Linked DNA regions of Drosophila melanogaster. The protein of the gene in region 3 interacts with the protein of the main gene of each other region in a pairwise test. Each region holds a gene or a part of one and is shown on either strand. Other genes may lie near its edges. The genes, in order: CG7655, roh, CG7173 and U4-U6-60K.

Region 1 (7,339 bases), on a different chromosome or scaffold from region 3:
AGCCAAGCAACAACATTTAGCAGAAATCAATAGATAGATCAACAGCCAAGCTATGAACAAGCAAACACCTTTTTTGAAAGCTATAAAATAAGAATCCTGTTGATATTTTATAATATTATTATTAATACAAACATATGTTTATTTATGATCCTCTTTCAAAAGATGCAATATTGTGTATGCCTATGTAATTAATTTATTTAAAATAAATCATAAATTCATTAAAGCAAACAAGGTTTTGTTTTCAACGATTTTAAATAGAAAAAATTCTAAAAACAAGGTTACAGCTATATTATTGTAATGCCACATGGTCGTACAAAAGAAAACATTAACCTTTATATATTAAGTGACTCTACGATTATAATTAAAACGTCATTGAATTAACGTCTAGAAAAGAACTGATGATCAGTGCTAGTATTTTCCTGTTCTTTTGGCTTCTCGGCGGTTGCCTTCAGGAAATTCGCGTCTGCCAGGCGGGCCACGCCCAGAACTCCAACGGCTATGGCGACGAAGGAGAAAGGAGTAAACATAAGACCGGATTTAAGATCCCAAGTGGCTCACCTGCAGCCAAGCCTTTCATAGTGAAATTCTCCAGAGGTTTCGCTTGTCTTTTTTTCGACTGTGCCAATAGGAAGGCACCAATTCCCAGGAGTCCAAGGCCACTGACCAGACGGCAGGCCAAGCAGTCCACCTCGTTGGAAACGTTGTCCTTGTTCCAAAAAGAAAGTCTACCGATCATTTTTAAAATTATTTCAATAATAACAATTTGGGAATGGATTTGGAAAATAAGGCGACAACTATCGATATACCAAGTTTGTCGCAGGGCTGCCAACTTGATTGTGTTAACTAAACTAGGTTTTTTGTTAATTCGATCAACAAATGCTTTATTGACCTTATTTTCTAATAGAACTAGATTCCTATTAATATTATATATGTTGACCACACTCTAAAATCTTTAATATGTATCTATCTTTTTAATAGCTATCGCCGATTTAAATGCATTGTTATCGATAGACGTGAACATTAGATGTTAAGTTAAAAGCGGCCGGTTACTATTCTTACAAAAATGGACTTTCAGCGAAACGATGCTATGCTCATGGAAATTCTGCAGGATCGGAAAACTATTACAGGTTTCCTGGACTCCATTTTCGGATTTCTGCGACGCAAGTAAAAGATTTTATCTCAAGATCCTTAACAAAACTGTAGTCCCACTTCCCTTTTTAGCACCGACTTTTATCACACAAAACGCGATGAAGCGGATAAAATAGGCTTCCCCAAAGGCGTGAGGGATCAGATTCTATATGGCGCCATGCAGCGCTACGATCCGGATTGCTTGCTACAATCCCTGACCGCGGAAGGCGGTGCAGATGATGGAGAAACGGCTCCGCCTGCCGTCGAAGAAGTGGTCCTGGAAAGCGAAGATGGTCCTCAGGACGAGGAAATGAAACCCATAGAGAGCCAGCCGCCACAAAAAGGGAAGGAGCAGTCAAAGTTCTCCCCCAGCGACTACAAAAACGGAGATGTGTTCGAAACGCACTGCTGGTCACAAACCCTCAAGGATGTGGAGGTGCAGGCTCTGCTTCCCAAGGATCATCAAACGGCGAAGAAGCTGCACATTTCAATTCAGGCCCAGCACATCAAAGTGAGCAGCAAGCATAGCCCAGAGACGATCATCCTCGAGGGAAACCTGAGCCAGCGGATTAAACACAAGGAGGCGGTGTGGACAATTGATCAGAACCGATTGATCATAAGTTACGGTGGGCATTCACCTAAAACATCTTTATAAACCATTTTCATAAACTGTATATAACTGTAGATAAAGCAAAGGAGCTCTGGTGGGATCGGCTCTTCGAAGGTGATCCAGAAATCGATTCCAAGAAGATTGAATGCGAACGCTATATAGATGATTTGCCGGAGGAAACCCAGGCCACCATAGAAAAGCTTAGGGTCCAGCAGTTGGCAGCAGACAAGCAACAAAATGAAATTCAGACCTCAAGTCCCGACCAAGCTATAAACCTGGATCGCCTGAAAGCTGCCTGGGATGCCGAAGGTTCGCCGTTTAAAGGACAGCCCTTTGATCCTTCTATCGTAAGAATGAGTTAAATTTTAAAATAATTAATTAAGCTAGCAATAGTAGTAAAATAGTAAAAACTGAACCATATATATTTTTATATATCTTTTAGTTTTTTCATTATTTGTTTCGTTCTGATTCGGAAACTGAAATTGTTAGAAAAGTATTATTCAATACAAACTCATGTCAACTTACAACTAGATCTTAGTAAGAACACTTTTGAGATTAAGTTTACTTGGCCTTCAGTTCGAGTTTCTTGCGCTGCAGTTGAATCTTCTGATAGGCCACATCCTTCTGATCTGTGGACCAGGCCAGGTACATGTAGGTGGTCAGCAGCAAGGCCATGACTAGCCGATCCACGCTCATCACATTCGTGGCGAACAGGATGACCGACAGGCCCACAAACGAGGGATGTCTGACATGGGCGTACAGATTGCGCAATTCCCCGGATTTGTAGCTGATGGGCGGTCCGTAGGCCTTCAGATCGTAGTAGGCTTGCTTGACGCCCAGCAGCTCTGGCAGATCCATCACCAAACTGCCGCCAAAGATGACAACCCAGCAGATGCCATGGGTGATCACGAAGGTCCACCAAAGCGGAGCACTCTGCTCCACATCGATTTGCCACAGAACAATCGACTGAGCGGGCAGCCAGTTGACGATCAAATACTGAAATGTCCAAAGTTGCAGTTGGGAGCTATTTCTGTCCAATTTGTGGGTATACAAACATGTAAACAAAGCGATGACGTCAGGCTATAAATAGTGCGCTCCGCACCCGACAATCCCAACTTGGCCAACAGCTTCTTGACCACGGCTGACTTGAGGAAGCTGTGCTGGAAGATGAATCCGATCAGGTAGAGGGTATCGAACACCACGGGTCCATAGGCGGTCTGCAGGCGCGACTTGTTGTCCAGTAAATTGAAAATCCAGGTGTGCGCCTTGGAAATCGAACGAGGCGTCGAAAGGAACATCATCAGGCTGCCAACCACGTACAGGGAGTAAGCGAACGTGGCCAGGGATGCCAATAGTACTATGGACTTGGCAATCGATGTCATTTTTGTCAGGAAAATTGAGAAAATAGCTTGTTATTTCGAGATAATCAAAACAAATTCAATGAACGTTTCGGTGAGCTAATCAGTGCGACCATGGCACAGTCGCGATAAAATCTTCGGTGAAGAATTTCAATTTGGTTTGTGTCCACGATAAAAACATCGCTCTCCCCACGTAGCGTGTCTCGGCTACAAAAACATAGCGCATTTATCCGGCGGCTTGAGTCATCGCTAGTTGTCCAAATTTAGGACTATTATGTGACTGGCGCGATTTTTGGAGTATGTCGCCACGGTCACTCTGTTTGCAAATGTTTCAATTTTCCCACTAACGAAAAAGTGTAAGTCCGCAGCCGAAAGGCATAAGAAAGTTGAGAAAAAGTTTAACAGTTGCAAGTAAGAACTGGTTTGATAAAGCGTATCTAAATCCAAGCAAAGTGATGAAAAAACTGTCGACGCGACAACCCAACACACACACACACTCAAACAGGCGCAGCGCTCCGGCACACATACACAAGTGGCTTGCAAATGGCGGATGCGTTTCCAACAAAAAGAAAAGAAGAAGGAAAAGAAAGACTGCATTGTAAATGTGAAATGTTGTGAAAATTGTTGACGTTGCAAGTGGCTTAAAATCGGCTGAAAATCAGCGTTAGAAGTATAGAGACTGGAGATAAGAAGGGGAGAGCGGTGTACATGTATGTGTGTAAGTGCAGTGCGACGCCCTTTTGTCTTGAGAGGAAAAAGGAAGCCACTACTTTATTTATCGGTGTGCAATTATTCAAGGTGCCAATTAGTAGTCGACACACTTTCACTGCTCCCCATTGCTTAATTATGAGCAAAGGGGACAGCTGACTGCTTTGATTTGCCAAAAATCTCGGGCGCCGCCGTCTGGCCGGGGCCCTGCCCCCGCCCTTTCCCATTTGTTGTTCGCTGATTTTATCAAAGAAAAAGACAAGAAATGAGCATAATTGATGCGCTGACCTCACCACACACACACACATAAGCATATGCGGGCTTATCAAAGGAGCGAGAGCGGAGCAGAGCTCAAAAGAGAGAGCGGAGCAGAGCAGCTGCAGTCCAATAAATCATAGACTCAAAAATCGTTCGTCATCGGGGAAAACCAATTGACAATCAACAAATGCTATCGACGTCTACGTCAGCAATCAATAATCATTAACCGCCAGCTTTAGACAATATCAATTTGCCTATTTATAGCCTTTATGAGTCACTCCACATTTTAGACCAACCTTCCATCTGTGGACCAAAAGAAAAAATTAGGGAAACGAACTTGGAACCTGACGCTCCCACGCAGGAATAACAAGAAGACACCACACACCGCAAAAAACATGCCACGCTTTCTTTCCCACAGAGATAAATAAAGCAGCATTGCATGTTGCATAAATATTACGGGAGAAAAAGACGAAAAGTAGGGAGCAGTGCTTTCTAAAATTAAAACTCTTGAGCCGCTGAAAATAGCAGGGGCAAAAAATGCATTTATGAATAAATAGATGAAAAATAATGAATGAGTGCGAGTACGCTCTCGCTCAGCGGTGACAGAGAGAGCGAGGAAAGCACTTGCACCGTTATCAGTGATGCTGCTGCGAAAGCAAGCTAGTAAAAGTATAATTTCAAATTATTTTTTTATGAAAGAACAAAAATAATATAAAATGGAGAACCCGGTTAAATTTTAGATAGATTGGAAGTTTTCAGTTTTAAGAAGTTATTAGGATATGTAAGTTGATTATGAAAAACAATTTTTTTTTAGAAACAAATCTAGACATTTATAATTCGCATAAGGACTTTAATAATTATACACAGTTACGAGGATCAATAACTTTTTTATTTCCATTTGAAGAGATGTAATCGCATTGGCGAATACTTGACCCACTTCAAACACGCTGCCTTCAAAGGCCAGAAAATGGTCAACTTGGCATTTCTGGCCGGGGCTCACCAACAGGGGAGAAATTCCATGTGCCAGCAAGTGCGAGTGTGTGTGTGAGCAGGCAGCTAATTGAACACTGGGGCGCCGCAAAAGAAAGGGGGAGGGAGGGAAGCAACGGCACAGAAAGATAGAAAGAAAAACGGGAAAATTAGGCCAACTGTGCAGTTCGATGTCAGTTTGCCAGTTTGTCAGTTGGCTGTAACGAGGCCGAGCAGCCAGCGTGTTTTGCATGCTGTTCGACCATAATACATAATTATTTATAGATGGTCATAATGATAATTGGCAGCAAGATTTCGACTTTCACACACTCGTTTATACAAAAACTCACACAAAAACACTGGCCAGTCACACTCACGCACACATGGGCGCTTTTCTTCCGGTTGATGACCTTTACCGGCGTTTTTATTGTGCTTTTTATTCTCTTTTGGCTTTGGCTCTCTTCTGCCGCCACCGCTTCTGCTGCTTCTTCCTCCCCCGCCTCTATACTCACGGAATCGGAATCCGCAGCCCGGACTTTACTTACTTTCCGTTAAACGCCATCGATTTGTTTGACGGAAACCCGTTTCCATTGTGCCATTAAATATTAATTTAACTTTGTGGTCAGTCCACCCATCCGTAATAATGAATGTCGGTTTCATAGGACTAGATAATAGACAATTGGAGTTGTAAAAACTTTCATAAATTGTAGTGAAGATGCTATGAACCATCTAAATTGTCACAATGGTCGCAATACAACAGTTGGAAACACTAAAAATGGTTACATTTGTTAATAAATGAAATCAAGAGTTAGTTATATGTAGATAGAGTAAACCTGGAAAGATTTGCTGTATACGGATTATTCATCTACCCAGTATCACGTAACCCAGTATTTTTGAAAGCCCCTTAGAAATGTTTGTTGATTGTGGATAAGAAGAAACAGAAACACAGTCAGTATCTTTTAGCCAGAAACATGACGCGAGCCAGCAAAGCAGCAGAAATAAGAAGCCAGAACTTGACAAGCCAACAGAGGAAAATAAATACCCGACCTGCCAGTTATCGCAGCCGCAGAGAGCAACAACCTTGAATTGAAATTTTTGCAATTTGTGAATTCTTCCACTGAGCTCGCGGAGTCAGCGAAATTTCAAGTTTTGTTCTAACTGTGGTGGGAGCGAAGAGAGAAAAGTGCCACGGAGCGCAAGCACACTGAGAATAAAACGTTCTGTTAGTAATGTTAGTATTTTTTATTTCAAAAATGTACAAACTACAAATATATATTATTTTAAAGTTTCAAAGATAACTGGGCGGAGTAAATATATAAACGTATTTTATTTTGATGATACAAGTAATGTTATCGCATATTTTAAACTCAAGACTTATTGCAAATTTGTTTGCTGATTCTTCAATAAAATCTTGCTCTCATAAAACGTAACTTGCACTTACAGAAAACATCCAGAAAATAACCTATTCAAAAATAAATATTTAGTCGATCTTGGGAATTGCTTCAAGTGTAGAGAGCTGAGGAGAGATCTCGAATTGCGAGCCCAGCTCTGCTGCGAATCTTTTCACTAGCCTTTGGCATTCGCATCGTGTCCATTGGAAGAGACTCGTGGAGTTTAACGAAAATAGATTAAACAGTGTTGATTTTTTTTGCGAATTGGCAAATTTGCATACGTGTGCGTCAGAATCTAGACTTTGAGTTATTTTAAATTGTTATTCTTTTTTCGGATTGTTATGTGAGTTCCTTTCAATCTGCGTCAACACCTTTGGGTGCTGGAAATGTCTACCAACTTTCGTTCAAGGCTGCCCAGCAGCTGCTGTTTCATAAGCTAATTTTATTCTTTGTGACTTTGTCGGCTCCCCACTTCTGCCCGGAATACATTTTTCCGTCTTAATCGCTGAGTTCTTTGAGGAATCGATAATTCCAGCTGAGATTTCTTATCGCCCTTCCTGCGCCAAATGAAATTCAAATGACCTTTTTGCCTAAATTTGAAATTCATGGGGATTTATTGGCGAGTTGAGCTGTATAATCCGGAATACCAGGAATATTGAGCCATTCAGCAGTGCATTTTTTTTATCTCAGCAGAGCAACAACAACAATGAAATTATCAACCGCACAGCGTTTTTATTAATATAACGTCCAGCAAGCCCAGTCAACTGCAGCAATAACAACGTGTTCATACAAAAGGAGAACTTGTGTTGTTGCGCTCTGAACCATTTTCCGGCCGGTAAACCGATAAGCACGTTCAACTCAAACAATCCGGCTATATAAAGCGTAATTGCCATTGAATGTAGTGTCGTTGATCTGTC
Region 2 (7,393 bases), on a different chromosome or scaffold from region 3:
TGATTCTTGAGTAGTTTAGCTGCAAGAGAAGCGCAGAAAATACAATTTATTGAGAAAACTCCATTACGAAGAGTAACTGTAAAGCCGTCTCCTTAACAAAACGGAGTGCATTGAACTTTTTCGAAAACCAAGTCGCAATAAAAGAGCCGCTATTTTTAGCCAGTTCTTTGTTTGTTGTTTGTATAAAATATATACACGAATACCCAATGCACATACTAGATTTAATGCCGGAAAAGTGCGGCGCGCTTGAACATTACTTACATTTTTGCGACGACAAAAGTTTTCTGCAGAGTGACCGTAGGCGCACCCTTAAATAATACCTTCGCGGCAGAGCGAGCACAGTCGGCGTGGTCTATCGAATATGTGAGCTTGCGATTTTAATCGATAACGCTTTATACCCTTTGCATACTGCAAATAAAACTAAGCTTCTTCTGTTGTTTACTTAATCATGGTAAACTAATATTTCAATTGCAGATTTCTTACTAGCAACAAATTTAAATTCTCAATCGACTTGGACTCTAACTTGACGCTTTAACGCTTTAACTTGAGTTCTCGTCGATTGTTGCCTTAATCCAGTCGACGTAGTGCGTCACATTCGTGGCCACTTCGAAGATCCTACAGGATGCATCCCCGTAGCTGACGAGTCCGAGCAGGAAAGCCCGCTTCTTTAACCCGAAGAGCAGCTTCGCGCTCAGCGGGCCCCCGGAATCCCCACCGCAGGCATCGCTGTCCACGCCAGTGGTGCAGATTTGGGACTGGTCGACTTCGATGTTGAAGTTGCTGTTGCAACACGATTGTTCGAGCGCAAGCAAAGTGGTCTCCTGGAGAATGCGGCTGGGCTTATAGTCTGCGGTGTGACCCCAGCCAGTGAGGGTGTAGAAGTGAACCTTCTCCAAGGGTTCGGTTTTTCCCCAGAATTCTGGGGAATCAGTCAAAGCGAGGCTTCGCTGCGTATAGCGTTAAAATTTGCTGAAGATAAGCTTCGCTTATGTACATAAATACTAATGCAGATATTATTGACCCGAATGGCGTCTACGACAGAAGTCAGGGGAGCCATTAAACCACTCGAGATAATATTTTGGATTGATAATATTTTCTTAGAAAAGCCAACGAAATGTTATTATGAGTAGCTAGAGTCTAAGCTGGAAAGCTCTGCTGAAGTCTTCGATGGCGTTCACAATCCAGTCCCTGTGGTGCGTAACGTTGGTGTAAACGGAGAAGGAATGGCATGCCGCCGACCCGTAGCTGACCAGTCCGTACTGGAAGGTCAGCCAGCTGCCGGCAAAAGGAACCTGTGCGCTCAGCGGGCCTCCCGAGTCGCCGTGGCATGCATCGCTATTTGTGCCAGCAGCACAAATCTGCGACTCATCCACCTGCTTGGTGAACTTGCTTCGGCAGAAGTGGAGGTCGGTGTTGTACACAGTGGCCCTCTGGAGCCTCCGGCTGGGCGTGCCATCGTTGGTGACACCCCAGCCGGTGATGTTGAAGATGGGACTTTCCGCCATGTGTCCCTCGACCAGGAGACAGATCGGCCGGACGTAGTCTGAAAGATATGTCCACTGCTTAGGGAGCCCTGGCTGCTGGATCCACCTCATTACCTGAGTACTGGACGAAGCTCTTCATGCGCAACAGGCCGATGTCGTTGTCCAAGTTTAGGTTATAATCCGCATGCAAAATCTTTCTATCCACAGCGAGTTCATATGACTTGGGCACGCAGCAATCCTTGCCAGGAAAGCGGGTGTCATACTCGCCCAAGCGTATTCTCCTGAGTTTATATGACTTGGGCACGCAGCGCGAGCAATCCTTGCCAGGAAAGCGGGTTTTATACTCGCCCAAGCGTACTCTCCTGTGGAAATGGGAATTCGTAAGTGTTCGCCGAAAGACAGTGCTGCCTCACTTACATGTGTGTACTAACGATGCAATGGGCGGCCGTGAGAACGAAGCCTGAAAGTATTAGCAGCAGGTGACTGGACAAAGAACTCATTCGTGGGCCACATTTGAATACTTACGACTGGTGATTAGCGAGCCACCACATAGTTTCTCGCCTAGCACCTTCACCATCCATGGATTTGAGAATAGGCCTGCGTCTGCGCCCCCGGTGATCATTGGGATAAATTCTGGTTTTGTCGTGCCACAACTGGAGTCTAGCAGGTGACCAGGTGCTCCTTCACCCAACTGGATGGAGCAGACCAGAAGAGCTAATCCAGCTGCGATGAACTTCATCTTTTCGCGGTAATGGAGCGACTGGCAAGCTTAGTCGAGTTTGAGGTAATTTTTGAGGAATTTTATGTTGACCAGCTGATAACAGTACACTCTTTATGACCGTCAACGGAAACGGATATGATAGGAATCAGTGTTTTGTTTTAATGAGTGCTCTCAGTACTTTTTTATTTTTATTTTATTTACGAATCTGGGGAAATTCCAACTCACTACCAAAAATTAGACCCCTGTGATGCTTTGTCTTGCGCCAACTACTTATACAAATTTGAACTTGAATATTTTTCCTGCTTAGCTTCTCGATTAACCCTTCGAAATGCAGTTATCTGGGTAAACGAATATTCATCGCGATCAGTTGTGGAATATAATTTAATCTATTCTTTAATAAATCCAATTAAATGCTGCTAGTTATGAATTTTAATAGTAACAAGCAACTTAATTTGTGTTTCATATAACAAATCATTAGTGTGACCGAACTCAACTCATAGGTGGTGTCATAGCCGCATAATAAGACCGTATTTGGATGTTGCAGTGCACTCTCCAATAAGAATCAAGTTTAACCTCGTTTCAAATCATTTATTCGCCGATTTCACGTTGGGTCCGACACAAACAGCTCTGAAATGTTGATGCGACAATTAAGACTAAGTTACTGGCCGCCTAGTGGTGCTCGGCGTGCTCCTTGGCCTGCGATTCGGCCCATGCCTTCTTGTTCTCGGGCGAGTTGGCTGAAAATGGGCAGGAGGGAGAAGTGCATTAGTACAAGGGGCCCAGAGGTCGCGAGGCGAGTGTTACGCACCCAGCTTGCTGATCTTGTAGAACACGGGCACGCAGGCCACGGCCGCAATGAAGTAGTAGCGCCAGATCCATTGGTTCTTGATGTAGTGCTTGATGGGGAATTGGGCTATCTTCGCGGAGAAAGTGTATGGGTAGCGCATGGGGCGTCCAGCGGGTTTCTCGGCAGCAGCTTTGTCGGCCATGGTAGTCGTGGAATTCGCAGCTGTGGAGGGTCGAATTAAACGAAATCAATTTACGCAAAAATTATGTAATTTTCGGAGGCGGCAGACGAACATACGAACCTCACAAATAAAAGACAGCTATGGGAATGCCAACTCGTGCGGCGAGGAAAGCACCAAAAATGACACTGGCTGCTAGCGAGTCTGGCAAGGCCGGCCATGTGTTTACCGCGGCGAATCAAGACGGTTATCGATTCACTTACATCGCTATCAACTGGTGGACGTTTTTTTGCCATCGTGAGCAAAACTTTCGAGTTACTTTTCCCGAATAATAATATAGAATCGTAAGGTAAAGACAGCAAGCACACTGCTTAGGTGCTATAAGCCAGCATTCGTGCTTACCCATAGACGCAGGATTCAGCTTGGATCTTAATTGCACCGCCACAGGAGTCTGAACCTTTTTTAACCTTTTCACATCCTTTTTCACCTTAATTGCCATGTCTCTCTCTTTTCAAGCTTTCAAAATGGTTTTAACTAGCGAACAGGTGCCACAGGTAGCTAGCTTGCCTCTTAGTAACTAATTTGCCAAGTAGCGAGTTTCCCAAATTTAGTTTTGATTTAGCATGTCGGCCGATTTGATTTCGTATTTGATCCAAACAGTTTGATAGTTTTACATATTGTTACATCAATAACTAATTCCGTACTCCCTATCTGGACTGGGACTGACGCCCAGACTTTGAAGAGCAAGCACAAGAAGCAAAGGCAACGCAATCGACCGCGCAACAAACGAAATCGCCTGGAAGACAGCCATTCAACGACACAAGAAACATCAGCCATCGACGCCACGAGTGCAATGCCCGGAAATGCTGTGGATCCATTGGCCACGGAGAAGACTCGTGACCAGATAATGGCCGAGCGGGAGGCGAAGAAGCTGGCTAAGCAGGCCAAGAAACAGAAAACTGCACCGACTCCTACTGCCGCCACTCCTGCTGTTCTGACCACTCCCTCTGCTCCGGCCACCAAAATCATCACTGAAGTGGAGCAGACCACCATTACCACTAAGCTGACGACCACCACCACAACAAAGGTGCAGGATGCAGTGGCTTCAAAGACGACTCAGCCAGCTGCGGTAAATGGCAAGGATGCGGAGGCGGGTGAAAAGACACGCGAGCAGATCAAGGCGGAACGCGAGGCCAAGAAGGCAGCCAAGAAAGCTGGCAAAGGCGGGGGAGCCAAGGTAGAGGGCATCGCACAACAGCTCGCTGACCTGAAAGTAGCAGAAAAAGCTCCAGTCGCAGCCAGTGCTGCACCTTCGACAACAGAAGCGGACCAGGAAAAGGTAACTTGCTACATTTATGATTTCCTTGCTTCATATACATCTCACCTCACCTTGCACAGAAAAAGCCAGCTCTTAGCAAAGCGGAGCGTCGCGCTATCCAAGAAGCCCAACGGGCAGCCAAGGCCCAGGTACAGACTAAAAAGGCCCAGCATGCAGCCAAGGCACCACCCAGCGCAGCTCCCAAAGGGCCGAACCGGAAGAGCGTTTCCCCCACCACAGCGGCCACCAGCAGTTCCCCCGTCAAATGTCCAGCCAGCACGCCCAATGTAGACTGCCGGGTGAAGCTGTTCAACCATCTGGTGTGCGCCAAGGAAGACAGCCAGTTCATCAACGATCCACTCGTTCATCCGAGCATTGCGCGCTTGGGTGTTCAGTACGCCAAGCGCACGGTGGTGGGGTCCAATGCTCGATGCATTGCCTTCCTGCACGCCCTGCGCCAGGTTGTCCACGACTTTGAGACGCCCGCCAAGAAGGAGTTTGGTCGCAGCCTGGACGCCGCCGTGAAGCACCACGTAGACCACCTGCACAAGTGCCGACCGCTGGCCGTGTCCGTGTCCAATGCGTACAAACAATTCAAGAACCAACTGACACAGCTGCCGGCGGATGTTCCCGAAACGGAGGTAAGAATCAAAATATATTTTTTTAACTCAATTGGTAACATGCATTTGCTCAACAGTCGAAGGAGCTGCTCGTCCACTTCATCGATACTTACATTGAAAATCAAATCGGCAAGGCGGCCCAAGCGATCAGCGGTTTTCTGCAGGAAAAGATCACCGATGGCGACGTGCTGCTGACCTTCGCCTGTTCCTCCCTCATTCAGTTCATCTGCGAGGAGGCCAAGCGGCGCCAGGTGGCCTTCCGCGTGATTGTCGTCGATTCGCGACCCGGATGCGAAGGCCAGGAGCTGCTGCGCCGACTGCACGCCACCGGAATCCCGTGCACCTACGTGCTGATCAACGCCGTGGGCTATGTGATGGCGGAGGCCACGAAGGTGCTGCTGGGAGCACACGCCCTGCTGGCCAACGGATACGTGATGGCGCGAACGGGCACCGCCCAGGTGGCCCTGGTGGCCAATGCCCACAACGTGCCGGTGCTCGTGTGCTGCGAGACGCACAAGTTCAGCGAGCGCTTCCAGACGGACGCCATCGTCTACAACGAGCTGAGCGATCCCAACCAACTGGTGCGCGGCGACAAGTGCCAGCTAAGCAACTGGGCGGCCAAGGGAAAGCTGTTGCCGCTCAACCTGAGCTACGACATTACTCCGCCGGAGCTGGTGAGTGCCGTGGTCACCGAGGTGGCCATCCTGCCCTGCACCAGTGTTCCCGTCATACTCCGCATCAAGCCAGACATTGGCTACTAATCAGACTTCATCGATCGCTCAGTAGAACTCGCAGTTGTTGAATAAATAAGTTTTATTACACTTTGATCAAATCGACAAACAAGATTGATGCGTAGTTCATAATTTACGGGTATGCTAGTGGAATATGCTTGATGCCAGGGACCGCTGCTGCGAAGGAGGGCTAGGCCCAAGTGTCTGTACATCCGGCAGACCGCCGAGTTCCTCGGAAATTATAAATATTTTGATCAAGAGCAAGTCTGCGCTCTGACATGCAATTGTACTTTCCGTGCGGGTGGGGCTGGGATTAGCAAATATGTAGCTCTAGATTCTAATAACAAAATACAGTTTTGTGCCCGGCTTATAGACTAGGACGATGCCTGGAAGCCAATCGCTGGTGGATTGATTTGGTTTTGCTCTTTTGATTTCCATTTGCAACAACTTGAATGAGCTTCTACAAGCAGCTAAGTCTACAAATGCAACAATAAATACACACAATAAATTTAATAGCGTTTCCATATCGATTGCACACCCTAGCTCCGCTCCATTCCTCGATCCTGCCTGCCTTGCCTCTACGGGCTTTGCTTTTGCATTTGCCGGAAGCAGCCCCGGCACACCGGCACCGGCTTTCCACTGTCGTGTCCTGGCAGAGCCACGTTCTTGTCTATGCAGCGCTCGCAGAAGATGTCCCCGCAGCGCCAGCAGTGAGTCTATTCGAGGATTGGATCATCATCAGTGGCAGGCTTGCTTAAGTACGCGGAGTTACCCACCTTTTTGCTGAACTGATCGAAGGGCGTGGAGCAGGAGCAGGTGGTTACGTTGCGCATGGGCTTCCAGTCTACGGCCACGGAGTTGATCTCCTCGGGCAGCGCCTGCGGCGGACTGGATTGTTCCGCGCTCAGCGACAGACTGGCGAAGGACATGTTGCTGGCCTTCAGCGGATGATCGTCGTCGGCGGCAGACAGTTCGCTAAGCTTCTTATCGTAGTTGTATCTGCAATAAGCGGATGGATTATAAAGCATACTATAGCATAATAACTAATATCTATCATACGCACTTGTTGTCATTGATCTCGTTGCTGGAGAGCTCCTTGTTCACTTTGCCAGGGGCGCTGGTGGCGTCTTGCAGTTTCTTGGCCGACTTGGAAATGTAGTTCTTGAAGCTGGCTATGCGCTTGGTCAGATGCTGCACGTGGTCCTCCAGCGAGTTGCAGTGCTCCTTGCTATCGAGCAGCACGTCGCCCAGTGGCTCCCGCGGATGAATGCCGCTCTCGAAGCGACTGTACATGCCGCGCCAGAACCTGTGTGAGAAGCGCATAGTTTATATAGGATTTGGCTCATTCCAGAAAGTCCTCACTTGATGCACTGCGGTGCCAGGTTGGCCTTAATGGCCTCGTCTACATTTGGTTTGTACAGCGGGTTGATATACTCGTTCAGGTGATTGGCCATATAGCCCCACAGCGAGAAGGTGCGCTCGGCCAGCTTTAGGTCCAAGCGATCCTTCTCGCAGTTGCCCACGAAGGTGCCGAATTGACATGAGTGCACATGG
Region 3 (8,956 bases):
CCTCTGCGCTAGCCTCGGAGCTCTCCGCTTTTTTGGTTATGTCGTCGAAGCTCTTTGCCTGCTTTTCGCTCTGAACTTCGGTATCGTCCTTATCCTCTACTTGAAAGCCAACTCGTTTTACGCCGCTTGAGTGCTTGGTAGAAGACTTCAATGGCACATCGTCTTCAGTCTTTTCGATTGTAAGACTCCGTGACGCTTCGGTTATAATGTTGTCGATGATTCCGGCCACATGGTGGGAAGTGGCATCCGTAGCATTGGAGCGCGTAGGCGTGCGGAACTGCTCCTCCAGATGCTCCGCCTCGCGGGAAAGCATCTCGATGTTGTCGTCATAGTCACGAGGAAACTCTGTCTCGAGTTCAACGAACTGCAGTGGATTGGTGTTCCTGCCTGACTGTTCCACATTTTTACGGACGAATCGAATGTTTTGCACGAAGTTCGCCGTCAAAGTCGTTGGCGTGGTCTTTGACGAGTGCAGTGGCGCCTGCTGCTTGATCAATGGCTCGATCACCGTGTCCGAGGAGGACTTTCTGGCCTCCATTTTCTTGGTGTCTGAAACAACCGCTTGCGACGTCCCCTTGACTGACTTGTCTTTTTTAGGTTTGCCCGAAGTAAGACCAGCTTTCTGGTTGCTTATGGCATCTGCAGGTTCTATTTTGCTATCCATTTCGTCCTCATTCTGTTCCCTGCTCTGGTTGTCCTGAGAGCAAAGCACCTCTACATCGGTTGATTGCTGTTTGCCTAAATCGCCGTTGTTGTTATCGTTGACTTTCGGTACGTCGTCCACGTTTTTCGGGCTTGACGCCGTTTTGCCGGGAAGGGTGTTATTTGAAAAGCGTCTTAGCACCCGCACAAATAGGTTACTTTTGCTGGCAGCTGGTGGTGTAGGCGTGGTGTTCAGCGTGGGTAGAGAAGAAGCTGGCTCGATAGGTGATGACTGGATTGAAGTGGTGCTGCTAGTGCTCGTGTGTGCAGAAAGTGTGCCCTGCTTGCAAGTGGGCTTTCTGTTTAGTGTGTCTTTTAGTTTTGATGTCGGGTTCGGCTTTTGCCTAGAGGAGGCAGATCTATTAAACGAACGGTGTCCCGACTTTTGTATATTAGCTCCCTGCACAGTTTGCTCCTCGCTAGAAATTGAGGTATTCCTAAAAGAATGATAGAAGTAGTTGATTAGATTCTATAGACTCACAGGTACAACAGTCGAGTTTTCCACAGTTCTCAGTAAACTTCCTTCCAAGAACATTTTATAAACATTCGATAAACGAAAAAACGGTTTCAGTTTACGTGTTGTTTATCTAGTAAGTTTTGCTTAAAACAGAGACGTTGAAGTAACAATTCCAGTTGAAGCATATTTAAAAATTAGTATCCTAGGGAAACAAATCCTTTGTAGGATACTTGGTCAGTTTAACACACTACATACAAGGATATTTTAAACCAGCTTTTACGTTATTTAGGCATATATGAAACAACGATTGTTACTTCAATCATTTTTTGTTATGTGCCCTGATTTAAATAAAAACAATATTTAAATAAATAGAGATATTCCCTAAATGTTTTGGCAATGACTCCAACTCACCTTTGAGGTTGCGTGGTGCAGGAGGTAGTACCATCTTCGCTGATGGCGCTTCCCTTCCGAGCACGGTTCGCAGGTACGACCTCTTGTTGTCGTACGAAGTCGCAGAGGGTTTGTCCAATTTTGCAAGATTTTTAGCAGCAGACCACCACGTTTAATCTGAAGCGAGAGGCAAGGCGGTGAATGAGTACATGAAGGCATGGAGGAATGGAGCAAAGGTTAAATTCCGGCACTATTGACAGGAGGAACTGGCTTGGACTGGGGCAGAGACATGGGCAGGGGCAGGAGCAGGGAAAGGTGACCATTCCCACACCCACTTATGTTCGTTGCTTGGTGCCGACGTCTGAAATATCGCTTACAGCTGGGTGGAGGAGGTAGTGGCGCCGTCTCCAGGAGGCCGAGGTGTGCGCTTTCCATGAATCACTAGTTTCGATTGCACTACGTTCGTCACTGGCTCTGCCGTTCCACTCTACTCTGTTCTGTTCTGTCGCGAGGGATATGTGCGTATGTGCGGTACGCTGGCTATACATACATATTTATGTACATTTGATTCGGGACAGGAAGCATATGCAGCGACTATGATGTCATGTTTCCACGCCGCTCCTTCCGGAAGTCCTTCGCTCGACGGGATCGTGCTCGAGTTGGGGATTTACGACCGGGACGGGGTCTAGGGCTCGCACTGCGACTGTCGGATCGTTCGCATCGAGGATTTCAATTTGTGATTGTGGTGTTCAAAGGCAATTCGAGCTAGCAAGCTTTCATATTACGGCACGGGGGATTGGTAAGTCTTTCGGGAGATAGTGTCACCTCCACAAGGGGGGTCAATTGGATTGAACGCGTGCGAGAGTCAGCGGAAAATTGAAGTTATTTCGCCAGAAGTTCCCTTTACTTTCACAAAAAATTTTACAAAGCAACTGGGTTTACTTGTGTTCGTGATCTATCGATAGCGCATATTGTTACACAAGTGTTATCGGCGGTGATGCCACCCAAGCTACCAGCTTGCCTAATATATATGTTACGCATTAGCAGAGATGTTACCTGGCCTCTGTTAACTTGAACAGTAGACCGTTACTCTTCGAACGAGTTATAACATTGTTAAGAATACTGTATAACCTTTAAGCATTAAGCCACTTTTTTAAATTTCATTTTGCCTGCCATAATGAAACAGATTACAAACAGATTACAGCTGTAAAAACCACACCTAACAAAGTCTTAATAAATTCCAAACCCTTATACAGGTTTCCCTTATTCAGCAAGAAGATGCTCCTGTCTCTTTTGTTTTGCCCCTAAGGCAAAAAGCCCAGATAGTCTCTTATTTTATATATATAAATATGATTTTCGATAATGTTTTCTTGCAATTCGTTAATTTATTTATTATAACTAACTTCTCTGAATGATTTTTGAGATACATACAAATATATTGTAGAACTTAAATATACATGCACTAATAGTTTATAAGTTATCACTTTAATGAATAGGAAAGCTATAAGTGCACGATATTTTTATACGTGAACAACAAATCAAAATCACTTTTTACAAAACCCTACATTTTACCATTTCCACTAAATTTGCATATTTTGTAATCGCTAGAATAAATTAAATTAAAACAGTTTTTTATTTTATTTTAGTTTAAGAGCAAGATCCTTTACTCTTAATCGTCACACCTGGAATAGAACATGTTGGTTTAAAATATATACAGACAATACATATATTGGGTATGAAACTCTTACTTATATTGAGGCATGACGAATAGCACTGCAGTTGGGTTTCGCCCGTGTACATGTATCCGTCGGATCCACAGATTATTTCATCGTTTTCATCGTACACATTAGCACATATCTTCTCGCAGTAGTTTTCCGTGTCCTTTGGATCGTCAGGAGTAGCTGAACTCGTCACAGTGGGCACCTTTGGAATATCTTGCTGAAATGGGCAAATTTAAAATTAAAAATGTAAGAGCTAAATTCACAGCAAAAAGAATTTGATCTTATTAGGAAAAACTGTTACTGGTATTTGATGAGTCGTATAATTTTTGTAGCTTGAGTTGATAGAATCAACTATTTTTTTAAGTTTATTTTTTCAAAGAAGAGTACTATTTTAAACCCGTAAACGATTTGATCGAAATTAAGTACTCACTAAATCGCGTAAAAATCATTATAAAATGCCTTAAAGGTTGGAAGTGCTTGTTTTTGTGGCCACTTTTTGGCCAACAAATATGCTAGCTTATATAAGCTACTTGCGGTTTTCACATTTATTGAGAAACAGAACCAACCTGCTTTCCACTTTCAGTGTCGGAACTATCCTCTGGGTCATCGGTGTATTCCTTAATGGGCTTGCTGAGTTCAATCTTCGGGGCAGGAGATTTCGCGGGCTCGCGGGGAGCTTGGGCCACGGTTTCGTAGTAGTACTGATTGGCTTGCGGGGCTTGGGTGTACTTCATCGATCCCCTTATGGCATCTTGCTCGGTGAACTCGAATCGCAGAGGCTCCGGGGTAAAGCTCTTGTGGGTCTTGGCGAGGTGCTGGCTCTTCGACGGCGATTGAGTGGTGGTCTGGACCGCCATGGGAGTAGAGACCACATGCTTAACGGCTTTGTTGCCGTCGGACTTGACAACGAAGACATCCTGACCTGCCTGGTAACTGCCGCGAACCACTGCGGAATTCGCAGGAGCGGGATCTTGCTGGTAGAACAAGTCGGACACTTGTATGGGCTCATTGTAACTGGAGGAGACTGAGTTGTCTAGGCCAGCAGTTTTGTAGGGAACATGTTGCTGCAGCGCTTGTTGCTGCTGCGGCTGCTGGTGCTGCGGTTGCTGATGCTGCTGCTGTTGTTGCTGATACAGTTGCTGCTGCTGCTGCTGTCTGTATTGCTGTGGATATTGGTGGAGCAGCTTCTGCTGGTCCCGCTCGGCGTCCAGTTTCTTGAAGTCAGGATCCCTCTTGGGCAGGAAGTACTCGTTGGTGCTCATGAATTGCAGGTAGTCCTGCGCCTCCCTGGACTCCTTTGGTGGTGGCACTGCCTGGCGAAAGTTTACCGCCTGCTTCGCAGGTATATCGGTATCCTCGTAGACAGAGTAGCTATTTGGATCCTGGGGAAACTGGCTGTTTTGGAGAGCAGTTTGCTGGGTAGGGACAACACTGAAACTGGGAGATCCCTGCTGTCCGAAGAGCTTGGGATAGTGCAGGTACTGGGAGGCCTGGACGGGAATCGCATGCTGTTGGATGGGTGCGTACACTGGCTTGGTGTCCTTCATGATCACATTGCCATTGAAGCGCGGCGAGGACTTGAAGTTCTGAATGTACTGCTCGGAGACATACTGGAGTGGGAACTGGTTTTTGCCCACATCTAGCACCGGAGTGTCCTTTACGTGGGCGAATCTGCCCTGCTGACTCTGGTCGAACTGGTACCTCCTGAGCTGGTCGTTCGCAGGAAAGTTCCCGAACTGCTCGCGACGCATGATGTGCTGCGCAGTGGCAGGTTGCGGCGACCGCAAGAACTTGTTGGAGCCACCAGAAAGCATGGCCAGGTTATCCGATCGCGATCTTATCCGGGGCAGTTGTCCGGGACCCGGCGGCCGATTGTGCTTGATATGGTGCTGGGCCAGGGGCTGGTTCTCACTCAGAAACTGCCTTATGCGCGCTTGTCTCATATCATTCTCACCGCACTGCACTTGGTTGATTAGGACCACTATCAGAACTAGGGCCTCCAAAATGGGGGCCAACTTAAGCGGACTCTGAGTCATTTTTAAAGCTCGTCTTCGTTCCACGACGGTCTATTGGTATTTGACATTTGTCAGTTCCGCGGCCAAAAGCAAAAAAGTTTCTTTCGAATTAACCACGCACACATGCGAAGCTTCTTTTCCATTCGACGATCCACGATCGCGCAGACTTGATCTCACTTTCTTTGTTATCCGGCCAGTCGTTTAAATAAAAATGGAACGCCTCGCGGCACTGCAGCCAAATACAATGTGGTGGCCTCGTCTCTGGGCCCAGATGCAGCTATCTATGTATATCTATTTAAAACCGACTTGGTTCGCCATATCAGCTTAAGATGGGCACTTTTTCTAGAGCCTGTGGTTCCAACGCCGCAGCACCGTTAATCAATGGAGGGTCTCGAGCATCCACATCCATCCGATTACTTTCTTCTTGAATTTCGGCGGTGCCGTCGGTTGGAAAGCAACTGAGTGGCAAATGGAACGTTTCTGAACTAGCTGTGCTGGAATTCGGAGTGTCGGAATGGCCACTAAACCAGTTTTGAGATGCTGCCTCTGCTGCCATAGAGGAGCTGCTGTGGATGTGGATGTGGATGTCGATGTCGATGTCGATGTTTTTGGATTTGGATGTGCATGTGGTGTCCACCGAGAGATCCCCGAGAGATCATATCGCGACACGAAGATGGAGCACTCGAGCCTCGGGGCACCGTGACATCGCTCCAGATGCGACAGAACCATTGGCCAGGTATGCTCATTAATCTGGCTATCTTGAGTGCTGGTGAAAGTAAATCGGAGATAAGATCTTTTGGAGACCTATGCGTAATTGGTTCGGAGTTCCTCAAACATCAGAGATTAATTTGCTTATACAGAATGCCAGATGGCTGGATGTCTGAGACTTGTGAATGCAGGGTTATTTACCTCATGTAAAAGTGAAAATGTTTTTAATTATAGATACTGGGATAATGGGTACAACTTTCGCTTTTGTCGTCAATTTGGCACTGCTTTTTCGAGAGAACAAGCCATGAAAACGATAATTTGGATCATTGTTATGCAAATCGCTCGAAACTGTAATCGTTCGTTAATGTATTCATTCATAAAAGCCCTGTTATTCCATAAAGTTTCAAATATCTCAGATTCTTTTGTGGCCAGTAAGTTTGTGAAAATGGAACTGATTACCTTTTTATGTATAAATAAATATTTATAAGGACCTAACACAATTAAAAAAAAACAACTCGGTAGCAATAAAACTCAGTTGGTTTATTTAGTAATATTATGAGATGTTGTAGAAATAAATAAATCTCCTTTGTGCGGGGGCACATTTGAATTTAGACAGACTCCCAGTCATATCACTAAATTCCCAATACGCAATTCTTAGCTCTTAAATTAGTTCTACAAAAGGTTGTTCTCGACGTCCTTGGCTTAAACTACAAATGTTGAAATGGCCTCGTGCTTAAATACAAGTCTCCTCGTTCTCGATCCAAATATCGTTCTCAACTTTGGGCTCCTCGCAAACTGTGTGGCTGTTTTCCAGCACGATGACAATGTCCGTGGTGCTCAGGACCGTGGAGTCCGCATTCTGGAAGTGCAAGGTCCAAAGTTAATATACACACGTGGAATACAAGCAGGTGAAAAGTAATGTAGTATTTATTCGCCCTGTATTTTACTATTTCACAAACTCAAACAATCACATACGAGCACTTTAATTCGCTCAACAGGCAATGTAAGGAAAAGTTATGTTCCCATGGGTATTTGTGTAAACAAAGCGAAATCAAGTTAAGCGGGGATGGAGCCGGAATACTAAGCAACTTCAGCATTGGGAATTACAAGGATACACAAATTGACGCAGAGTGAAATAACTTTTTAATTTGATTTATTCGCCCAGGTATCTTTGAGTTCCGAGAGTCCGGCGACACAGAAAAGTTTGGAAATAACTCTGGGATTTCCAGTTCAAAAGAATCTGCGCATCTGTAATAACTAAATTTATGCTAATTTACTACTATATCATACTCTAGGACACTATGCTATACTTCAATGAGTATTTATGATTTTGGTCTGTTTAATTACTTTTGGTAGCGGGAGGCTGTAGGTTTTCTTTATCAGCACCCTATTTGCAGATGAGGAGTCCGTTTCGAACTTATTTGGATGCTGGCTGGCTCTGACGTGAACCTATGGGGTAATTTGAGATAGAATAACCAAATTAGGTTAGGTTGGATTAAAATGTGCTTTCAATAACTTAATAACTTACAGAATGAACGCGGTCGTAGGCGGAGCTTTCCCGGAAACTGGAGTGATCCCTCGCAAATCCGCTGTTGTAATAGGCGCCCACGGCTTTTCCGCAGAGGAGTTCCCTGAACGCAACCCTGTAGCGACGTGACATCACACTGTACACTATTGGATTTACGGTGCTGTCAAGCCAGTTGAATCAGATAAATAAGTTAATAGAATTTGGGTTCATTTACCATGAAACGTAGTACGCAAATCCCGCAATCGAGAAGAGTGCCTCGTTTATGTCCAAATAGTTATCCATGTTCTTGGCATACAGGAATATGAGTCTTTGCAGGTGGAACGGGAACCAGCACACGAAAAACGTAATCACCACAGCAGCTATACTGATTAAACGGGGACTTTATTGATGGATTCTGTTGGGATTGATTGGGAAAAGCTCACCCAACATGCGAATAACCGTCTTCTTTCTCATTTGGGAGTTTCTCGTTTCCCTGTTGTTGGTGCCTTGTTGAACACCTGGAATACATCCCTGAAGTCGGATCTTTTGGGGTCAATAAAAGCCAGGTACTTGCCCAATTTTTGGTTCGTTCGAGATCGAATCTTGGCTCCCATTCGTCCGTAGAGCAAAATGATGAGTATCATCGGAATGACAAAGAAAATGCAAAAGGATACTTCGAACACGGGAATTTCGTTAACAATCTTGGGCGACATGGAACAGAATGCCGACTCCTCAATGCGGGAATGATCTGAAAAGCGCAACGAATGCCATTTATACCTGTTCATGTTATTTGGATATTATTCAAAGAATATACTTCAACCATTCATGGCTGTTGGATGGTGAAGTTCAGGTCGCTCGCAAAATTAAAGTCCATTTCAATTGATTTATAAGGTTTCAGCAATTTACTTCATTTGAGCAACTACTGACTCGAGCACCAAGCACCATTTTTGTACTGCTAGGGAACTTATGATGTAAATAGTTTCATACCTAATGGGTAGTTGAGGTATTGAATATCCGAGAGCAGTCCAAATGGAATGGCGCTTATAAAACTAACAATCCAAAGAGCTGTTATTATCCGAATCGCGCGCTTGAAGCCAACCATAGCATACAGGTGCAATGGATGGCAAATGGCCAGGAATCTCTCCATGGAAAATGCGACGATGGTAAAGACGGAGACATAGGTGCATCTGAAACACAGCTGGGTTTATAAATGGCTAAACGTGTAGTCAAAAGTAGTTATACTAACGCCTCTGAAATAAATGCGCGTATTTTGCAGAATGGCATGCCGAAGAGATCCGGATACTGATGCCAGTACAGAAACACTTCCGTTGGTAATCCTAGTTTTGTTTAAAACAGCATATTCAGTTAACTATATTTTCCTATTTTATTTAGTTAACCTACCAAATAGTAGGTACAGCAGATCTGAAACAGCTAGGCTGAACAGATAGTAATTGGT
Region 4 (8,331 bases), 4.0 Mb from region 3:
AGGTCTCCCCCCCCAATAATTCCTTCTCATCACACTGGCTGAATGCCAGCAGTGAACAGGTTAATCCCAATTTGTGCATTTTGGGTGGCAACCAAACCCATTCGGGCAGCGAGTGCAACGAGGAGCGCCAGCTGGAACAGGCCTCCCACTCTAAGATCACCGTCATCGTGCTGTGCATCTTCTTTGGCAGCCTGCTCAGCTCGGGCATTGGCCAGACCGCCGTGGCCACACTGGGCATACCCTACATCGATGACAATGTAGGCAGCAAGCAGTCGCCCATGTACATGGCCGTCACCATTGGCATGAGGATCCTGGGACCGGCATCCGGTTTCATTTTTGGCAGCTTCTGCACTCGCTGGTATGTCAACTTCTCGAATCCCGGCTTCGACGCCACGGATCCGCGCTGGATTGGCGCCTGGTGGCTGGGGCCTGTGGCCATTGGCAGCCTCATGCTGCTGGCCTCCATCGCCATGTTCTCGTTTCCCAAGCAGTTGAGAGGCAAGCAGAAGCCGCCGGGGCAGACAGCAACTCCAGCAGCTCCAGTTGAGCCGGAGGAGAAGCCCAAGCTAAAAGGTGAGAATGTCAAAGATAGCTTGGTCTTTAGTATTTGATGATAAAGATTTTAGATTATAATCATGCCTCTGTCATCAACAGATCAGCCAATCAATGCACCTTACTCCATCTGGAACTAAATCTTAAAATTTACCCATACAGATTTTCCCAAGACAGTCCGTCGCCAGCTGAGCAACGACATCCTGATGTTCCGCACCGCCTCGTGCGTGTTCCACCTGCTGCCCATCGCCGGTCTCTATACGTTCCTGCCCAAGTATCTGGAGACGCAGTTCCGGCTGGCCACCTATGATGCCAACATGATCGCCGCCTTCTGTGGCATCCTGGTCATGGGCATAGGTATTGTCATTTCCGGGCTCTTCATCCTGAAGCGAAAGCCCACTGCCAGGGGCGTGGCCGCCTGGATCGCCTTTACAGCCCTCGTCTACTCGGCGGGCATGATCATCCTGATGTTCATCGGCTGCAGCATGAACGACTTTGCCGGCTACAAGCCAAGCGATGGCAACAGGTGGGTCATCGAAGAAGTTCTTGCTTAATTACATATTAGTTATAATTATATAATATAAGTAAACTATAAAGATAGCATTTGAAAAGGTAGAGATCCAACCAACATGAACCAATACCACTGCCCTCATAAGTATGCAAACTTTTTCCGCAACAATAGTATCCTTTTAATTTTTGGATACATGTAGAATTAATATATTGCACTAAGTGGGACTGCGGGAAAGTGGGGCTATAAGCTAGCTATCAAATCCAAAATGTAATTCGTGTTAAGTCGACTTTTTACACTTGATATACGGAGTAACTCTAGTAACATGTAACTTATTTTAATCCATCGCTAGTCCCGCCTTGATCGAGCCCACGTGCAGTGCCGCTCTCAACTGTACCTGTGATAAGGAGAACTTCGCGCCCATCTGCGCCGACGGCAAAATGTACATCTCGGCCTGCCACGCCGGATGCAGCAGCTCCTCACTGCGGCCCAGCGACAATCGCACACTCTACTCCGATTGTGCTTGCATTCCAGATGGTGAGATGCACCCATTGCCATAGCCCTAAGATTCAGTATCTTAATCCCTTTGCACCTTTCAGCTCCGGAGGCGGTCAACGGTTACTGTGATAATAACTGCAAGAACTTCATCTACTTTATACTGATCTTTGCCATTTGCGTATTTATGCATTCCACCTCCGAGGTGGGCAGCATGCTGCTCGTCATGCGCTGCACACACCCCAAAGGTAATAACCAGGATTGGCAAACAGATGTTACACTAACGATAACAAAACCCTTAATTCCCCGCAGATAAGGCCATGGCCATGGGTGTGATACAGTCGGCCATCGGCCTGTTCGGCAACGTTCCCTGTCCCATCATCTACGGCGCAGTGGTGGACTCCGCCTGCCTCATCTGGAAGTCGGTGTGCGGCAAGCACGGCGCCTGTTCACTCTACGATGCGGACACTTTCCGGCAATATTTCCTAGGTGAGTCAGAATCTATAGGAAAATATAAAAAAAATATCTAAATTACTAATCTCTGAGTGATTATGTACCTTACTATGCAAGATAATAGTCCCTTAATTTATAAACAGAAATACTTAGTAAGCTATCTGTAATTCCCAGGAATCACGGCTGGCATTATGTTCCTGGCATTCCTGATGGATCTGGTGGTGTGGCGCAAGGCGCATCGCATTGACATCGCGCCCGAGGATCCGCAGGAGGGCGGGCCCGCTTCCAACGGAAGGACCTTGGAGGTGTCCGAGTCCAAGCAGCCCATCACCCCGGCGCCGGACACGACGGTCTAGGAGGAGCGGGTCGGCGACGAGCCTTGCACAAGCTGCAGGATTTCCAATAAACGTTTACCTTAATTGTTAATTAGTTATCATTTGTCTAGTTTGTTAGCCTAGTGCAAGAGTTATGTATTTAGTTAAGTGGCATCTTCGAGCGTCGGGAGACCTCATTCAAATCCACATTAGAACGCGCTCGTCCAGCTCCCGCTCCCGATCCTGCTCCAAATCCCAGCACCATATTCTACATGAAGCCCATGGATTGCGATTTGAATCCTTGTAAATCTCAACGCGAAACAATGAAATGAAATTCTAGACATTATCTAACGTCATGCATGAGCGTAGTTAATCGACGAGCTAATACTACAAACTGATCGACAATTGTGCAAAGTGCAAGAAAATTTATGAATCCTTATGTGTAAACTATATGTAACAGTTATATCGCGATGTATGTAATCTATAATTAATATATTAGACATACACTTACATGTATGTATGTAATTGCAACCTATCTGTGGTAGTTAAATTTTAGTTAAAATTCAAATTAATTGTCTAAGTTTGTCATACAACAAATATATACGAAAAGAAATTAAATGGAAAACTATATACAAGTAATAAAAACAGATGTTTAAATATGAGGATGGGCTGCTCAAGGATAATTAAAAAATGAAGAGGAAAAGTTGCTAGTTATCCTTACTTATAAATTAGAAACAAGTTGTAGGCTGATTAGTTGTTGGGCCAGTAAATCCTTTCCCAATTTTAAACCCGTTTAAAATTCAATTCTCTACCAAAAATGTATTTTTTATTAACAATTTCAATAAAAAAGTCTTAAATTTACGAAATGCAACATCGCTGCATCTGCCTTTCGCCTAACAAAAACAACAAATTGTGTTATACAAAACGAAAACTTGAAATGTTTTGGGCTATTGTCTCTGAAATAACAAAAACAGTTGATGAGTAAGTCGTGCCCAGCGGGCAGATCGCAAGTGGAGATTGTCTGCGTACGCCCACAGGTGAGTACAATAAAGTAATGGTATCAAAATCAGCTATCCGGCGACCACAGCTTAAATGTGCGGTCAAATGAGGTCGTGGCTATATACTGCGAGTTGGGCGCGATGTCCACCGATATGACCTTGTTGTCGTGGCCCTGCAGCGTCTTCAACGGCTGCCACGTCTTGTTGGACCAGATCTTGGTGGTCGAGTCGTAGGAGCAGGTGACCAGGAAGCTGCCGCACTCCTGCTGGTACTTCACGTCCGAAATCAGATTGGTGTGCGCAGGAATGGTATAGACCGGCTGGCGTCGCCTCAGGTCCCAGATTTTACATGTGTTGTCCTGGGACCCTGTTGCTATGTGGAATCCGTTTGGAGAAAAGTCCACGCCGAAAACGGCGCCCAAGTGTCCCTCCAGAAACATGATGCACCGCCCAGTGCGCAGATCCCACACTCGTCCAAAGGCATCCAGACCGCCGGTGACCAGGACACTGCCGTCGGAATGATAGCTAAGGCAGTGAACCGGCTTTGCGTGCCCTTCCTGGTGAAGCACCTCTGTCTTTTGCTCCAGATCCCACAGCCGCCAGCTAGAGTCGTAGCAGGCGGTGGCCAAGAAGCGGCCGGAAGGATGGAAGGCTACCTTAGAGACGCGATGCGGCATGTGGCCGGTGATGTCGGCAATCGACTCTTCGTTGTTGAAGCCCCACAGCTTGACGGCGCCATCGTGGCCACCGGAAGCCATGGCCACCACGTTCTCCTCGTCTGCCTTAACTCCCGGCCGCAGAGCCACTCCGCCCACATAGCTGGCATGTCCACGCAGCGTCTGCTTCAGCTCGCAATCGGGCACGCTCCACAGCTTGCAGAGACCCGACCATGAGGAGGTCAGAAGGAGTGAGGAGTCTTCACTGAAGGCAGCACTACTCACGGGCCGTGTGTCACCCACCTGGGAGCACAGTGGAGCCAGCGACTGGAGCTTCTTCTGCATCTCCACCATTCGGCCGGCACGTGCTGCGCTGGGCACTTCAAGGGCCTCACGTGCTCGTACCAAGCGATCCTTGGCGCGCGGCAGGGAATAATCCGCCAGCCAGAGTCGAGCGATACGCAAACTATCGGGTCCCTCGTGGTACCAGGTGGCCTGATCCTGCTCCCGCTGTTGCTGCTTGCGCTCCTCATCCTCATACTGCCTCTTGTTGATGGCGTTCTCGCCCAATCCAGCCAAGAGTTCCTTAAGACGTCTTCTTCGCTCCGCCGGTCCTTCTCCAAAATAGCAAATGGGTTCGTTTAGCTGGCGCAGATTGCTCTTGATCTCCGTGTCGTCTGTGGACACATTTATCTGTCGTGCTCGCTTTTTCCGCTCAAATTCCTCAAGGAGCGCCACCTTGTCGCGCTCCATTTCCATCTCTAGATCGAAGTAGTCATCGTCAATTTTGTTGGCCAGAGTAGCGGCTGTGGGTGGTGGTGCTCCGGCCTGCTTGGCGTTGCTTGTCTTTTTCGTGGACTCCTCGTAATCCTCATCGGAATCGATGTCTTCCAGTTGCCCGCCTGTTCCAGTTGTTGTTGTTCCTGCCCCAGACGATGCCGTCGTTCCCGATGTTGTTGTTGCTGCTGCCCCAGACGCCGCGGCATTTTGCCGCTTGCGTTCCGATTCCTCGAGCGATCCATAGTGCAGCGTTCGCTGCCGCTTAATGTACTGTATATCGTCGTCATCGGACATCGTTGCGGCCAGCAAACAAGTGCAAAATAATTAATTTTAAAATAAAATTTCGCCGAAACAACGAAGAAACAACAAAAAATATTGCCGTAAAGAAAACGTTTTGCTGCCTAGTGTTGAGCAACGCCGAGAGGGGTGGTTTAGTGATGCCATCACCGATGTTTAGAGCGGTATGCAGCGAATAAGCAATAGTTTTTAGATCGATATTGTTTGTTGTTTATTGTTAAATGAACGGTTTTTGAAACTCTAAATTATATTTAAAACAATAACTATTTAAAACTGAAACTTTATTCCACGTGTTTAATAAAATTTTATATTAAGATCGCGATATACCGTTATTAGAGAGAACTACATTTGTTCTTGGAAATTAAATGATGTGCCTTTGTTTTTTATTTAATCATTTAATCAACAATAATCTATATACTTGGATCTGAACAAAAGCCGTTACTCCCAGAAACCGTGACTTTTCACCGATATATCGCCTACTCGTGCTTCACAGCACTGTTTTTCAGCACTACCCCATTTTAGAACATCCTCACGCACGCACGCACAGAATTTTCTTAGGTGATTAAAAGTGAGTGAAAATTGAGAATTTCCACACGCGTCGCACGCTATTGGTCACAAAGCCAGTGAGATAGCTGTCACTGCCACCGCTGCAGCATTTTTCACGCGCTCCTGGCCAGAAGGATATGAGCGCGCCGAGCAACAAAATGTCGGCCACCGATCAGATGCGAGCAATGCTGGACCAGCTTATGGGTACCACACGGAATGGCGACGAGCGCCAACTGAAATTCTCGGACCCCAGGGTCTGCAAGTCCTTTCTGCTCGACTGCTGTCCGCACGACATCCTGGCGTCCACGCGCATGGATCTCGGTGAGTGTCCCAAAGTGCATGACCTGGCTTTCCGCGCAGATTACGAAAGTGCCGCCAAGACGCGCGACTACTACTACGACATTGAGGCCATGGAACACCTGCAGGCCTTTATTGCCGACTGCGATCGACGCACCGACTCCGCCAAGCAAAGGTTGAAAGAGACCCAGGAAGAGCTGACCGCCGAGGTGGCTGAGAAGGCCAATGCTGTCCATGGCCTCGCCGAGGAGATTGGCAAGAAGTTGGCCAAGGCCGAGGCCCTGGGCGAGGCCGGCGAAGTGGAGGACAGCATGGAGCTGATGAAGGAGATCGAGGAGCTGCGTGCTAAGAAGATCAAGGCCGAGCACGAGTACCGCACATCTATGCCCGCATCCACCTACCAGCAGCAAAAGTTGCGCGTCTGCGAGGTATGCTCCGCCTACCTCGGGATTCACGACAATGACATACGTCTGGCGGACCACTTTGGTGGTAAGTTACATCTCGGATTCCTCACTATCAGAGAAAAGCTGATCGAACTGGAGAAGACGGCGGCGCCGCGGAAGGCGGAGCTCAAGCGGACGGGTAAGATGACGGACCGCGAGGACGAGGGACGCGGACGCAATCGCTACTTTGTAGGTGGTCGTGAACTGGACCGCCGCTCTCGCGTACATCGTTCCCGCTCCAGAGAACGACAGCGCAACCGGGATGGGGACCGCGAACGCCCCAACAACGGACGCGGTCCTGAGGAGAAGGGGAGTGAGCGACCCAAGGAAGCGGCAGATGGTCCGGAGCGAGCCGAAAGGGCACCAGATCGTGGAGGACGGCGAGATGACAGGGACAACCACGGCAGGGATCATCGCGAACGGGAACGCGATGGCAGGCGGGATCGGGACCGACATGGACGCAACGACAGAGGACGCTTTGGTGACAGAGGCGGCGGTGGAGGAGGCGGTGGCCATCACCGTGACGACAGACGCCGCTCAAGGTCCAGGGAACGCTCGCCACGCGAACGGCGGAACTTTAACCACTTCAGGGATGGTGGTGGCGGCGGAAATGGCCAGCGCAAACGATCCTACTCCCGTGAGCGCAACTACCGCCGCTAGGCTAGAATCCCGCCCAGCGCACGTACGTAGCATTAATCACATGAACTATAATGCCACCACAAATTGAACTACTGAAAACAACAGGAACCGAATATTCTTAGCGTAACCAATAAAGCAACCTAGAGCCACACTTTCGACGCTCCAATATGAAGATACAACTACCTTTGTACATTTTTAATAATTTAATTGATTTCTATTTTTGATCTTGCGTTCCAACCTCTAATGACAAATTTTTGTTACTACCCCAAAGTAAACCGAACGCAGTCCAAGACCCCAGCCTCAATAAAAACTTTAAGAGAAACGATATACTCGATATAATGCGATTGAAATTATATAGTCCCCGTCCAGTCCAGTGTACTTGGCACGTAGAGACAGAAACCCAAACAGAAAATAGAAATCCCAACGAATCGGCAGTGTTGTCAATTAAAGTTCAGTTCATTGTAATTCGGTTAGGACACAGCGGCAGTCAAGTTAAAGATAACTAATTTATAAGGATTCAGAGCAGGAGAAACGTTTAATATATGATATTTTGTGTGTTGTATAGCTAGCTACAAGTTGGTAACATTGACTGAAACCCAACCAAACCTGACCACATTCGACCATGTACTCTTCTCAGCTAACGATCACGTTCACCCAGTCGAAGTCAACGTGTGTTGTGCATCGCTGTCGTCCCGCTTTGGGGTAAGCCTCCACCATATTTAACTCTGACACACTCCATCACTGCTCTGATTTGATTTCATTTGATATGATATGATTTGATTTGATTTGTAACCCCAAAGCGTTCTCTACTTGAAGTTCCGTTCCACACTTTCGCAGCCGCTTAAACTCTCGCACAGCTTCGGTACGTATTGAGTATGGCGAGGTGACTATATACATTATACCAGACCAATGTTAGTTGTTTTGGCAGATATGCGTATTACATAGATAATCCAGATAATATAGCTTGGGTACGTATCCATACCGGCCGACGACGTTTCCTTTTGAATCGTCGAATGAGAGTGTCGTTTATTTATTCGGTTCTGGGTACGTATTAATGTTAGAAGATCACGACTGTGGTACGTATACATATAACGACTATAATGGTGCCCCATAAGCAAGCCAGGCTCTCTAGGGTTCTCGGCGATCCAGATCCCAACGTACGTATTTCTCCTCCTCCTTTCTCTCTCTCTTGAAAATAAATAATAAAAAATACAATCACCACAAACCAAAATAAATTTTAATCTCGTAGCTGTTTAGAGGCAATTGAATTAAAATCCGTTTCTTACTAAATCTCTGTTTATCTTGCCAAATGGTACTTGAACCACTGTAATGATGAACTCCAATTAAGAACAC

The links.
Region 1: the proteins of CG7173 (region 3) and CG7655 interact in a two-hybrid assay, tested with the Drosophila melanogaster proteins (one large-scale study listed by BioGRID).
Region 2: the proteins of CG7173 (region 3) and roh interact in a two-hybrid assay, tested with the Drosophila melanogaster proteins (one large-scale study listed by BioGRID).
Region 4: the proteins of CG7173 (region 3) and U4-U6-60K interact in a two-hybrid assay, tested with the Drosophila melanogaster proteins (one large-scale study listed by BioGRID).

The regions. Positions count from the first base shown.
Region 1 is NT_033777.3:17,678,570-17,685,908, reverse strand, and holds CG7655 (uncharacterized protein), read right to left. Parts: upstream 3,241-7,339; 5' UTR 3,121-3,240; coding exon 2,794-3,120; intron 2,735-2,793; coding exon 2,300-2,734; 3' UTR 2,136-2,299; downstream 1-2,135. Other genes in the region: CG31360 (uncharacterized protein), read right to left, coding at 378-496, 559-736; CG31251 (uncharacterized protein), read left to right, coding at 1,064-1,164, 1,222-1,754, 1,814-2,100.
Region 2 is NT_033778.4:23,383,104-23,390,496, forward strand, and holds roh (reduction of Rh1), read right to left. Parts: upstream 3,361-7,393; 5' UTR 3,195-3,360; coding exon 3,014-3,194; intron 2,943-3,013; coding exon 2,875-2,942; 3' UTR 2,361-2,874; downstream 1-2,360. Other genes in the region: CG30414 (uncharacterized protein), read right to left, coding at 1,131-1,543, 1,599-1,846, 1,902-1,944, 2,010-2,223; eIF2Bdelta (eukaryotic translation initiation factor 2B subunit delta), read left to right, coding at 3,695-3,724, 3,904-4,509, 4,569-5,129, 5,186-5,869; Mtmr6 (myotubularin related protein 6), read right to left, coding at 6,418-6,555, 6,616-6,838, 6,903-7,145, 7,202-7,393.
Region 3 is NT_037436.4:21,552,455-21,561,410, forward strand, and holds CG7173 (uncharacterized protein), read right to left. Parts: upstream 5,773-8,956; 5' UTR 5,307-5,772; coding exon 3,837-5,306; intron 3,488-3,836; coding exon 3,298-3,487; intron 3,232-3,297; coding exon 3,197-3,231; 3' UTR 2,919-3,196; downstream 1-2,918. Other genes in the region: Wnk kinase, read right to left, coding at 1-664; CapaR (capability receptor), read right to left, coding at 6,727-6,852, 7,341-7,442, 7,522-7,681, 7,736-7,880, 7,944-8,018, 8,075-8,248, 8,488-8,687, 8,747-8,837 and 1 more.
Region 4 is NT_037436.4:17,508,732-17,517,062, forward strand, and holds U4-U6-60K (U4-U6 small nuclear riboprotein factor 60K), read right to left. Parts: upstream 5,182-8,331; 5' UTR 5,051-5,181; coding exon 3,389-5,050; 3' UTR 3,124-3,388; downstream 1-3,123. Other genes in the region: Oatp74D (organic anion transporting polypeptide 74D), read left to right, coding at 1-573, 715-1,078, 1,413-1,597, 1,660-1,803, 1,868-2,044, 2,183-2,364; CG7564 (uncharacterized protein), read left to right, coding at 5,737-6,999.